3 linked regions of the Macaca mulatta genome follow. The protein of the gene in region 3 purifies or fractionates together with the protein of the main gene of each other region. This does not show direct contact. Links are inferred from orthologs where the notes say so. Each region holds a gene or a part of one and is shown on either strand. Other genes may lie near its edges.

Region 1 (3,564 bases), on a different chromosome or scaffold from region 3:
AGGTCCTCATTATATTTACTAAAGCTTGGGGTCCACCACTAGCCAGTATGATCAGCTAGAAAGATATATACATATCTTGTTAGTCATGGAATCTTGATCACATGTCTGAGAAGAGCCATATTACCAACATATTTTATTATACAAGAATTTCAGCCAGCTTGTCATTGGACCTAAATGTATCCCTGGACCCCATCACTCTGACCCCCATACTGGGGCCCTATCCAACTTGTCCTTTTAAAGCATTCCACTCAAATTCAGACATCCCAGTCCTCCCAAGAATGTATCAGTTTTGGCCCAATTTCCTTCTTCCCATACTGATCATAGCAGAAGAAAAAAATTTAGAAACCATGTTGGCAGGCAAGATTAATGCCCTAAGATGAAAGTTATATCAAAACTGATTCACTGAAAATTTGAACCAGAACTGGCACTTAAAACTCCTTATCACTTGGCCCTTTAATTTTCCTAATTATATCCACCTTAAAAAGAGATACCATAAAATGATCATTCACTCTTGTCCTTTCATCCCCTGTGTATCTTCCCTTTCAACACTGCCCCAATTTTCTAAAAACAAATTTCATCATTTCATGCTTCTGCTGAAATTTCCCATTGTGCTTTTAAACATGCTGTACAAAGCCCTATGAGATCTGCTGAGTCTATCTCAATAGCCTCACCTCAAACCTTTCTTCCTCTTTACTGTTAGTATTTCTTAAATTCCCAAAACTTTCCATCTCCTTCCTTCGTTTCAAAGATGCTGTTTCTCACCTAACCTTCACCTAGTGAATCCCTTCTCATCCTTGAACACTGAACTCAACTATCACTTCCTCCAAGAGGTACCTCCTTGAACCCTCATAAAGAGTCTGTTTCACTTGTGTAATGTGCTCTCATAGCCCCCACTTCTTCCCACTACATGAATTAAATATTAGGTTATTATTCCCAACATCTACATCCCACCTAATTACAAAAGTGTGAAGAGAAGCTTGCCTATGATATCCCTATTACTTTGCATAGTGCTTTACATATGGAAACTCAAAAATTTAAAAGAACAGAAATGAACTGGGCTGCACAGCAGGAGGTAAGTGGCAGGTGAGCGAGCATTACCTGGCTTGAGCTCTACCTCCTGTCAGATCAACTGCAGCATGAGAACCTCATAGGAGCGGAAACCCTAGTGTGGACTGCACATGCGAGGGATCTAGGCTGCACGCTCCCTATGAGAATCTAATGCCTGACTATCTGAGGTGGAACAGTGTCATCCAGAAACCATTCCCACAACCCATTCATGGAAAAACTGTTTTCCACGAAACTGATCCCTGGTGCCAAAAAGGTTAGGAACACTGCATGGAATGACATGACACTGGAAGTGTCCGATGCTCCATGAAAACCACATAAAGAAGAATTCTCTTACCTTGCTTTCTTGGTTGCCATATGCTAAAATTTGAAGGCAGTCTGTCGTAATAGCCAAGAATTTAACGTTTGTTTTGTTGAGCAAGGCAACCATTTTCTGTAGCCCGCCAGCTAAACGCACTGCCATTTTAGCTCCTTCTTGATGTAATAAAAGGTTGTGGAGAGTTGTAATGGCATAAAACAACACAGAATCCACTGGTGAACTGGGAAGAAGAAAAAAGCCTCATCAGAAATATTGTGACTATACTCTTCTACTTTTTAGCTTCAAGCATTCTGACAATGTTTTCTTACCCAAGCATTTTCACCAGGGCAGGAATGCCTCCAGACTTAAAGATGGCCAACAAGCCCTCCCGATGATGGGAAAGGTTATGCAAGGTCCCAGCGGTACAACGAGCTGTTTCTACATCATTTGTATTCTGCATGGTACGTACAATAGCAGACACCATCTGAGGAGAACGCATGATAGCGTGTCTGGAAGCTTCCTTTTTAGAAAGCTGATGGACCATAACTGCAGCCTTATTAACCACCACCTATAATACAAGAATCAGAAACATCATTAGTTTTCAAGTCCTGGTAGTGGGTAGACATTCTGAACCTACTCCCCTTGAGCATTTACTTCAAAGCAGACTAAAAAGCTAGCCATGTCATTGCTCACCTGGTCCTCATCATTTAGCAGTTTTGTCAGTTCAGGGATTGCACGTGTGGCAAGTTCTGCATCATCTTGATAGTTAATCAAGTTTACAACTGCATGTTTCAGCATCTGTGATGGTTCAGCCAAACGCTGGACATTAGTGGGATGAGCAGCATCAAACTGTGTAGATGGGATCTGCATGCCCTCATCTAATGTCTCAGGGAACATAGCAGCTCGTACCCTCTGAGCTCGAGTCATTGCATACTGTCCATCAATATCTGGAAAAGGTTAATCAACACTCACTATCCACAGTTCAGCATTTACCTAAGTATTTGCTATCCTAAATGGTAAAAGTGACATTGCTATTACTCCCTTTTCTTCACCACAACATTTTATTTCAACTATTATATACTAACTTTTTAGTTCTCAAAACTGCATTCTGACTTTCAGTAAGGCAATGAAAAATACTCTTACCAGCTACTTGTTCTTGAGTGAAGGACTGAGAAAATCCCTGTTCCCACTCATACAGGACTTGGGAGGTATCCACATCCTCTTCCTCAGGATTGCCTTTACCACTCAGAGAAGGAGCTGTGGTAGTGGCACCAGAATGGATTCCAGAGTCCAGGTAAGACTGTTGCTGCCAGTGACTAACAGCCGCTTTTCTGTCTGGTTCCATGGCCATGTCCAACTCCATCAAATCAGCTATAAATATGAAATAGTATTAGCATTAGTAGATTGGAAATGTTACTTCAATTAAAAAAAAAAAAAGAATCTGTGATATGACCCATTGAAATATTTTTAGAAATAAAGTCAAATCTGAAAGACAGCCAAGAAAAGCAGAATGATAGCCAGGGTTAGCTCAGTGATGAAATACCTAATCCCTTAGGGGACCACCTAACAGTTACTCACTGAATCAGTGGAAGAATGGTACTGCATCCAGGCTCCAGAAGCAGTCATCCAGACTAGATTCCTGCTGGTGGCTTGTTTGCTATTTCACCAAGCCATTAGGAGGAGTGAGCAGAAAATGGAGCAAAAGGTAGCCTGACAAGTAAGCAGGGAGAGAGGAAAGCAGGGGAATCTCAGCCAGACTGGCTTAATGGCAACGAAGCAGAGCCCCAATTCAGTAACTAAAGATTTATGACACAAACCTTGAGTAGCCATTGTCCACGCTGGATTTTCAAAACAGTTGTATGGTATACTTCAAATACCCTAAAAAAAGTTAATCAAAAGTCATTAGGATTTAAATTTAGCTTGATTAATACTCCTAAGTCACTGGGATGTCTGTTAAATGTCACTATTACACCCACAAAAAAAAACCCCATATCCTCTTTTACCAGGTTATTTGGTGAAACACAAGACCTCATGGTCTCCTCCAGACACCTCAACCACAGCTCCATCACTGCTGAACTTCAGTGAAAACTCCTCCTTACCAAATACATCTTTTTATTAATAGTAGAAATATAAATTACAGATAATCAGGATGGTGATGAGAAAGCAAAGAGTTGTAATAATAAAAGCCAGGGAGGGGAAAA
Region 2 (3,564 bases), on a different chromosome or scaffold from region 3:
CATTTGGAAAAGGCCTTCCCCACTGGTCCCTGCCTACCACTTGAGGGTTGAATAATTATCTGCAGCAATTTTAATAAATATTAGTTATGAATAATAACCATCTTCCCAATATGCCTAGGAATGGGGCGACTCTGGGCTGCTCCGGGTGGGAACCATAAGGGTCTGTGCTGTCTCTGAGCACCGTCTCTTCTGTTTCCCAGGATCCTGCAGGCCCAGGTGCCGCCTGTGTTCCTCCAACAGCAGCAACAGTACCAGTACCTGCAGCAACCCCAGGAGCACCCCCCTCCCCCACATCCAGCTGCTCTTGGCCATGGCCCCCTGAGCTCCCTCAACCCACCTGCTGTGGAGGGGCCAGTGAGTGCCCAGGCCTCCTCAGCCACCTCGGGCAGTGCCCACCTGGCCCAGATGGAGGCCATGCTGAGGGAGAATGCCAGGCTGCAGAGGGACAATGAGCGGCTGCAGAGGGAGCTGGAGAGCTCTGCAGAGAAGGCCGGCCGTATTGAGAAGGTAGGCCCTGCTGGGGTTTCAGAGGGGCAGACCAGAAAGAGACCCCGAGGGGCTACCTGGGGAGTGGGTAGTCCAAGGAGAGGCAGAGGAGCCTGAAAACTGTTTGGCTTGATTTCCCCCATCCCTCTGTTCTCCACCTCCCTCACCCCTCATGCACCCTCCTGAGCTGACTCCAGACAGCTGGGGAACAGCCGAGAGGCCGGCAGAGCAGGCCTGGAGCATGAGCAGTTGCTGGCCAGTGGTGATTAGAAAGAGCCCATTCACCAGCTCCTTGCACACTCGCACCCTTGCCCTGCACACACCCCCTCTCATGGACACCTCCCACAGAGAGCCCTTTGTGTCCCCCACACAACAGCAAGTCTGTTCCAGGCCAGCCCTGGCGAAAAAGAAAACTTCTCCTCTTGGAAAGACTTGTTGGAATCACAGGCCAGCTAAGAGCACGTGCGGAACCTGCCAGCAGCCAAGTGGGAGGAGCAGCCGGGGCCCAGCTGGCCCTCTGGGTGGACGGTGATGCCTGGGGGACCAGGCAGAGGTGGCTCAGGCTTAGACCTGGTGCCTGCTTCTTTAGTGAAGGATTACCAGTTTTCTGCTGAGGCTCAGTTTTAGCAGATGGCCTCAGGCCTCCCTTGACTGTCCTGTGGTGTCCAAGTTAGGTCCAACCACCCCGACATGGCTGTAGTCTTTTGGTGCCCACTTCTGGCCAACCGTACTCAGTTTCTTGGTGGAAGCCAGCCAAAAGTAGAATGTTTCCTTCTGGACACTGGGCACAGGGAAGCTATGTTTAGTCACCCTGCAGGCAGCTACTTCCAAAGTACCTGGCCCTAGGGTCACTCAGCATCTGGTCCTTGGGGCAGCCGATGGACCGTTGCTTGCTGGTCCCAGCAGTCCAGTCTACTTCTGGAGGCTACAAGCTTCTGATCATCCCGCCATAGTCATCCCACCAAAACCTGGAGGTTTTGCTCCTGCTTGGTGTCCTCTCATCTGTCACCTTTTCTGATGGAGAGTAGTGGGTCAGCCTGGAATCACTCCCTAGGAGCTCTCACCTTCCTTCAGCTCTGCTGTCTGCCTCTTGCAGCTGGAAAGCGAAATCCAGCGGCTCTCTGAGGCCCATGAGAGCCTGACCAGAGCCTCCTCCAAGCGTGAGGCCCTGGAGAAGACCATGAGGAACAAGATGGACAGTGAAATGAGGAGGCTGCAAGACTTCAACCGGGATCTTAGAGGTGAGAGCCAGTCACACAGGTGGAGGTTGGAGAGCCTCTGCAGAGGGCTTACTTCCTCTGTTCTAGAGAAAAATTGGGAATCTATTACCTGCTAAAAGTGCAGATGAACTCAGAGAGCCAGGCTGAGACCCTCGGGAGCTGCCCTGATAGAGAGATGCTTGTCTCTATGTACTGGGTCTCGGATCCCTTCAGGGAGCTCCCATCGTGGGGCCCGGATGATGGCTTCTGACAGAGGAGGCTCCCTCCCATCGGGCCCTGAGCTGAGCCGGGGTTTCCTCATGGCCCATCCCCAATGTGGAGGATGCAGCCCCGTCTTGATAGGATGTCAGGAAAAATCCCAAGCTGGCAGCTTCACCTGACACTAAAACATCTTTCCTTCCCTTGAAACAGAGAGATTGGAATCTGCAAACCGCCGCCTGGCAAGCAAGACACAGGAGGCCCAGGCCGGCAGTCAGGACATGGTGGCCAAGCTGCTTGCTCAGAGTGAGTAGGGGCCTCACTAAGAATCCTGGCCTGTGTGCAGGCAATGGGACTGCTGCACACCCTCTGGACCAGGAAGATTGGCCTTCCCCCTTGCAAAGCAGTACTTTAGGAGCAGGTTTACTGCCTACTGTGTGCCCAACACTAGACTGGATCTGGGGATGGTGGGGAGAAGTGGCTTCCAAAGAAGAATAGGATCTAGTTGTGTATCTATTAAGAAGATCAGTTGACACTAGAGGGAAAGCCAGGGAGCAGTGATTTGCTGAGCTTCCGTGCTGACCATCAGTGCAGTGCATTGGGCAGTGTGGGAGGCAAGGTAACGCGGAACACAGGTGAGGTGAAGAAGGAAAGGTCGTCTGAGAGCTTCCCAGGGAGTTCCAGGCAGCAGAAAGGTCAGGAGTGTGCAACGGGAATGTGAGAGGCAGGGGGCATGATGGAACTGGGCCATAGCAAGCTAAGTGGAGGCACTTGAGACAGCCAAAAATGGGATCCTAGACCTTAACCAACAGATGCATTCTAAAGGGGGTGGTCTAAGCATCTTTGAAGAATGGGCAAGTTCATTGACTAGTCCATTCATGAATTAGCAGATGTGTTTTGAGCATCTGGCAGATGTTCAGGTGAGAATGGGAGCAGGCCCCGGAAGGTACCATGGCAGGGAGGTCAGGAGAGAAGTGGTGAGCTTAAGAAAGGAGCAGGTTCCCACAGATTTAAAAGAACAAGGGGGGTGGTCCTAGAAACTGGTGATTAGGAGCCCCAGTGGCCTGAGAGAGAGGCTCCGTGGGGATGGCGGGGGTGGAGAGCCAGCCAGAGGTGAAGGAGTTATTGGGCCGTTCAAGAGGTACATGGGGTGGGTGGCAAAGGGAGCCTTGAGCTCAGCAGCAGGAGGCTCTAGCAATCAGAAGAGACTAACAACAGTTATTTATTGAGCTCCTACTAGGAGCTTTACTGCCGTTCAGGGTGTTTGCAGAGAAGTGGAATGGGAGTGGTTGGTAGCTGGGTAAACGTGGCTTTGAGGCTTCACAGGAACTCTACTATGAATGGCACCAACAGTAGTGTGGGGTGCAGAAATGGAGGAGCAGCTTGAGGACTTAGCTCTGGCTGGCAGCACCCCTATCTTCCTTCAAAGAGGGTTCAAAGACTAGGGCAGGGAATGGGGGAACACAGCACTGAAGGAATTGACAGGGTGGGGCAGGAGGTAGGCTGGTCTCTACTGGCTGGGTGGGGTGAGGTGGCAGCGGCTTAAGGTCTCTGGGAAGGAGTCAAAGGGAATGAGGGAGAAAGGGGATGGGGCAGCCCTGGGGTTTCCCTGAGGAGTCTGGGGAGGAGAAGCTGCAAGGGCAAGGCAGATTAGGGTGCC
Region 3 (4,364 bases):
TTCCAAATACTTCAAGCTTTCACTCCACCCAAACGCTGGAACGATAAAGTTTAAAGGGTTAAAGTTAGATGTATGACACAGCACATTAGTTTAAAAATTGAGAAAAAGAATGTTGACATTTTTTATATTTAATACATAATTCTTCAAGAATTTGAAGGCATTTGCTGAAACCAAAATGGCAGCCCAGCGAATTAGAAGACCAGCGAGATCTAAAGGAGAGTTTGTAGTCTCTATTTTTAAGTTCAAGTGTACTAACCAGCCAAGCTAGTCATGGTGAAGGAGTTACCTAAGGGTAATTAGCTCCGAGAGGGTTAAGTACCTGCTGGAAAGTTTCCTAATCAATGCACCCCAAATTATTCCCCTCAAAAGTGAAAGTATACATACGTTAGGTAGATTCAGGGACTCATGGGTTTCCAGGTAAAAGAGCGGCACACACACTTCTCTCGCCGAAAAATAAAGTATGAATAATCTATACCTACAACTTGCTTAAACTAAAAGACAATCTGAAACAATTATATACACCTGTAAACTACACCGTGTAAATTCAATTAACGTTATAACTATGGAACTTCCAAAAAATAACATGCTTAATTTAAGCAGGTTCTACTAGAAATTTTGCAAATTCTCGTGTAAGTTCTAGTCGCTACAGAAATCCACACAAATAATTGAAGAAGCCATCTATACACCTGCTCTATATAACTCTGTAACTTATTTCACAATGAATGAAAAATCAGCCATTTATCCAACCCTAAGCCTCACGTCACAAGAATCTGAAGATCTGATCACTAATAAACTCGCACATGCTAATATTTGCAGAAACAGTTAAAAATAGAAAGATAATAGGTCCAAGCTAGCTTGGAAGCGATTTCTGCACTCAAAAACCCCTTTCACGGCTTTGGCCCTCTGCAAATTAAGCGGGGTTAAGGAAGTGTAGGAGGCCGATAACCCAGCTCCGACTCCAGGAGCCCAGGGCCGGGGAGAAACTGCGGGTTATCGCGGGAGGGTGGGGGGAGGCGGACAAGTCGTCAGGCCTGATAGCCAGGCGTAGCCGAGGCCTAGCTCCCCGACTCCAAATCACTCCACCTCAGTAATGGCGTTTGGTGTCAAGTGGAACCAGACCGGGCAGGAAAGCGGCCGCCGGGCCGGGGGCGGCCAGCCCCCAAACCGACCCGGGCCCCGGGTGCGGACGGCGGGGGGGCTGCCCGCCACGCCCGGAGACTCCATCCTCCTACTCGGCCCCAGACAGGACGGGAAGGGGGAGGAGGGGGAGGGACGGAGCCGTCAGCCATTTTCCCTTACAGTCCAAAACACACAAGACACGCTCTCGGGACACCGGCTCCACACACAACACGGCCCCGCGCGCCCGCCCAGCCCGGGCCGGAGGAGGGGGAACGGGGAAGCCCCGGCCCGGCCGGCAGCCGCCGAGGGAAGAAGCTCACACACACGCACACCCCCCTCGCCCTCCTCCCCTCACCCACATCCAGCTGTTGGCCCCGGGAAGGCGCGTCGCCCCGGTGCAGCTGGCCACTCACCGCACGACACAGACGTCTTCTCAGAACCAGGGCACGTGGAGGCGGGAGGCAGCAGGCGACGCTGGGGCTCGGTCTCGGGACAAGACCTACCCTGGGTGCATCCCAGGCCCGTGGGTGACCGGCAACAAAGTGTATTGAAAGGCTGCGGCGGCCGGGCTCGGGGCTGAGGGCGTCTCAACCAAAAGGCTGCACACCCGGCGCCGGAACTCGCTTCTCGCCGCGCCCGCCTCCTCCTCCTCCTTGGCCGGCTACGGCCCTCTTCCCCCTTCTCCCCTCAGGCTGGGGCTCTCGCTGAGCTCAGACGGGCTCCGGGCGGTGCGTTTCTCCTGCGTCACCTCCTCCTGCTCCTCCTCCTGCAGCGACGGCTTCACCTTCCCCTAGTCGCCGCCTCTGTCCCCGTTCCGGGCCTGGTTGCTTTGCAACAGCTCTCTCCTAGCTCCCGGCGCCGACCCAAGCACCGGGCGCTAAGGCGGCCGCCTCCCGCGAGAGAGAGGCGGCGGCGGAGGGCTCCCGCGAGGCCCGGGAGCTGTGCAAGGCGGGGAGGGGCTCGGCGCGGCAGAGGCCCTGACGGGGCCGGGTGCGGAGAGGTTGCGGCTCCGGCGGCGGCGGAGACTAGCGTCCGCAGCCGCGGATGCCCGTCCTCGTCAATATGGCGGATCCGGCAAACCAAAAAAAAAAAAAAACCGCTCGGCCAGTGGCGGCGGCGGTAGCGGCGACGGCGGCGGCAGCAGCGGTGGCGGCGGCGGCGCAGACTCCCACTAGCCCCAGAGCCGCCCAAGACCCGAAGTTCTCCGCCCCCGTCAGACCCCGCCCCTCTCAGGCCCCTCCTTTCGGGCCTCCCCCTGCTCCTGCCCAGCCCCCTCCCGCTCAGCTGCCCCCTCTTCTCCCGCCTCCACCCCGGACCGTCAAGGCTGGGAGAGCAGCGCGAGCCGCCGAGGGGGCCGGGCTTGGGCGCGAGCCGCTGGGAACCCGGAGAGCTAGGGTGGGGGAGGGGAAGACAATGCGGTAAAGATTGTTCGCGCAGTACCGTTTCTTCCGGCTGGCCCCTTCAGGGTCGTGCTACCGCCAGAAATCCTGTTCCATGCCCCTCGGCTCAGGAGCGGGACGAGGGCAGAGGTGGCTCTAGGACCGAAGTTGGGGAAGGGAGGCCCGAAAAGATCTGGCACACCACGCCGGAGGGGCTGGGCGGCAGGGACTGGCGGGGTGTGCGGTCACGACGGGGTTAATCGCGTGAGCCGCAGCCGCGTCGCTCATAGTTTGACTCTGGCCGCTTGTTTTTGTTCCATTGTGAACCGTGGCCCCACCGACAAGAACCCGGATGATGACGTCACCGGCCTCCCCCTTTTCCGGGATCGTGGGGGGAGGGGCGCGGAAAGATGAGATCCCGAGACCACGCGCTGGGCTGTCGCCGCCGCGGTGCCTGGAGGTCCCGGCGGCGCAGCTGACCCGCGTCACGTGACGCACGAGCTGGCCGGGCCACTGGGCTGCGGGGGCGCGAGGTCCCGAGGGCCTGGCCACCTGCTTGGCGCCGATAGGGGGAAGGTGTGGCTATCTCCTGCAGCGGAAGGAGGGGGCGTGGGGAGTGAGGTCCTTTTCCCCACCCCGCGAGGGAGGTGCTCTGGGAAACACTTTCACACGATCGCGCAGCATCAGTACTTGAAAGCGTTTAGGCGTCCTCACAGCGTAACTGACGGGACTGACAACCTTGTTGGCTATAGGAGCCCTTCAAACAGACCAGGAAAGAAAAAAATTATAAAGTACCCCAGACGGCTTAGCGAATAGGCCGTACTTGATATGGCAAGATTAGCCTCCATTGCCAGATCATCAGCACGATTCGGTGTTAGAACCCGGAAGAAACTTATGAACCCATCCGCTGTGTCATGGACTATTTTCTACATGTTTATATTCCAAAGTGCAGGCGTAGGAAAAACTTAGGCTAATCTCAAATTAATGGGGTGCTTGGAACAATTCTATACAGTCTGCCTAGGATGCCCAAATGAAGAGGAAATTAACAGTTCCTAATTTACAGATTTCCTTTTGACTTAAAACTACCTGTGGACATCAAATGGCATGCAAAATCATAGTAAAACCTTACAAAACGAGATCTATTTTATAGAGAACAGGGTTGAATTTAGTTATGCTATGATTATATCAGTTTGTAATAAAAGACTGTTAAAAATGGAACCAAACTAATTTAGGTGACAGTGAAAGCAAGTTATTGGTATCTTAAATTTTTAAACCATTTCTCTATTTAGCACTAGATTGTTTACAAATTTTTCACCACAAAATTACCTAATAGGGTATCCAAGATACATCATTCATAGCCCTAATAACTCTTAGCATATGTTACCTTGTTTTTGTAATTATTTCCATGAATCATTTGCTTACCCACTAGCTCATGGGCTTCTAAAAAGTAGACACGACCACCCGTGTACACTGTAGGCTGTTATCTTCGATTTTAGATAAGGAAACAGAAAGGGTAAATGATTTGCCCAAGGTCAGGATTGGAAAGTGTTGAACACTGGTCTTTTAACCCTATCAAAAGTGCACCTTTAACAAGGATTGTCCCCTCTCACCAATTCTGTTCAATATTGTACTTGCAGTTCTAGCCTGAAAAAGAAATGAAAGACATCCAGATAAGAAAGGAACAATTAAACTATCGCTACTTTCACATAACATGATTTTATATATAGAAAATCTTGGGAAATCCACTATAAAAAAAACCTAATAAAGCCAATAAGCAAGTTCTGGAAACTGCAGGATATAAGATCAATATTTAAACATCAGTTATAGTTTTACACACTAGCAATAAACAATCTGAAAATTAAGTTA

Evidence for each region.
Region 1: the proteins of USP9X (region 3) and CTNNB1 purify together in Homo sapiens (affinity purification with western blotting; 6 studies listed by BioGRID, with this or other methods). This does not show direct contact. The link is inferred for Macaca mulatta from reciprocal best matches to the Homo sapiens genes USP9X and CTNNB1.
Region 2: the proteins of USP9X (region 3) and AMOTL2 purify together in Homo sapiens (affinity purification with western blotting; 3 studies listed by BioGRID). This does not show direct contact. The link is inferred for Macaca mulatta from reciprocal best matches to the Homo sapiens genes USP9X and AMOTL2.

The regions. Positions count from the first base shown.
Region 1 is NC_133407.1:104,565,623-104,569,186, reverse strand, and holds part of CTNNB1 (catenin beta-1), read right to left. Parts: intron 3,242-3,564; 5' UTR 3,194-3,241; coding exon 3,181-3,193; intron 2,735-3,180; coding exon 2,507-2,734; intron 2,311-2,506; coding exon 2,057-2,310; intron 1,932-2,056; coding exon 1,693-1,931; intron 1,605-1,692; coding exon 1,403-1,604; intron 56-1,402; coding exon 1-55. UniProt on the Homo sapiens protein: Key downstream component of the canonical Wnt signaling pathway.
Region 2 is NC_133407.1:37,408,456-37,412,019, reverse strand, and holds part of AMOTL2 (angiomotin-like protein 2), read left to right. Parts: intron 1-145; exon of another isoform or gene 146-200; coding exon 201-507; intron 508-1,582; coding exon 1,583-1,727; intron 1,728-2,117; coding exon 2,118-2,210; intron 2,211-3,564. UniProt on the Homo sapiens protein: Regulates the translocation of phosphorylated SRC to peripheral cell-matrix adhesion sites. Required for proper architecture of actin filaments.
Region 3 is NC_133426.1:40,965,822-40,970,185, reverse strand, and holds the start of USP9X (ubiquitin carboxyl-terminal hydrolase 9X), read right to left. Parts: upstream 2,841-4,364; 5' UTR 2,560-2,840; intron 2,200-2,559; exon of another isoform or gene 1,533-2,199; intron 1-1,532.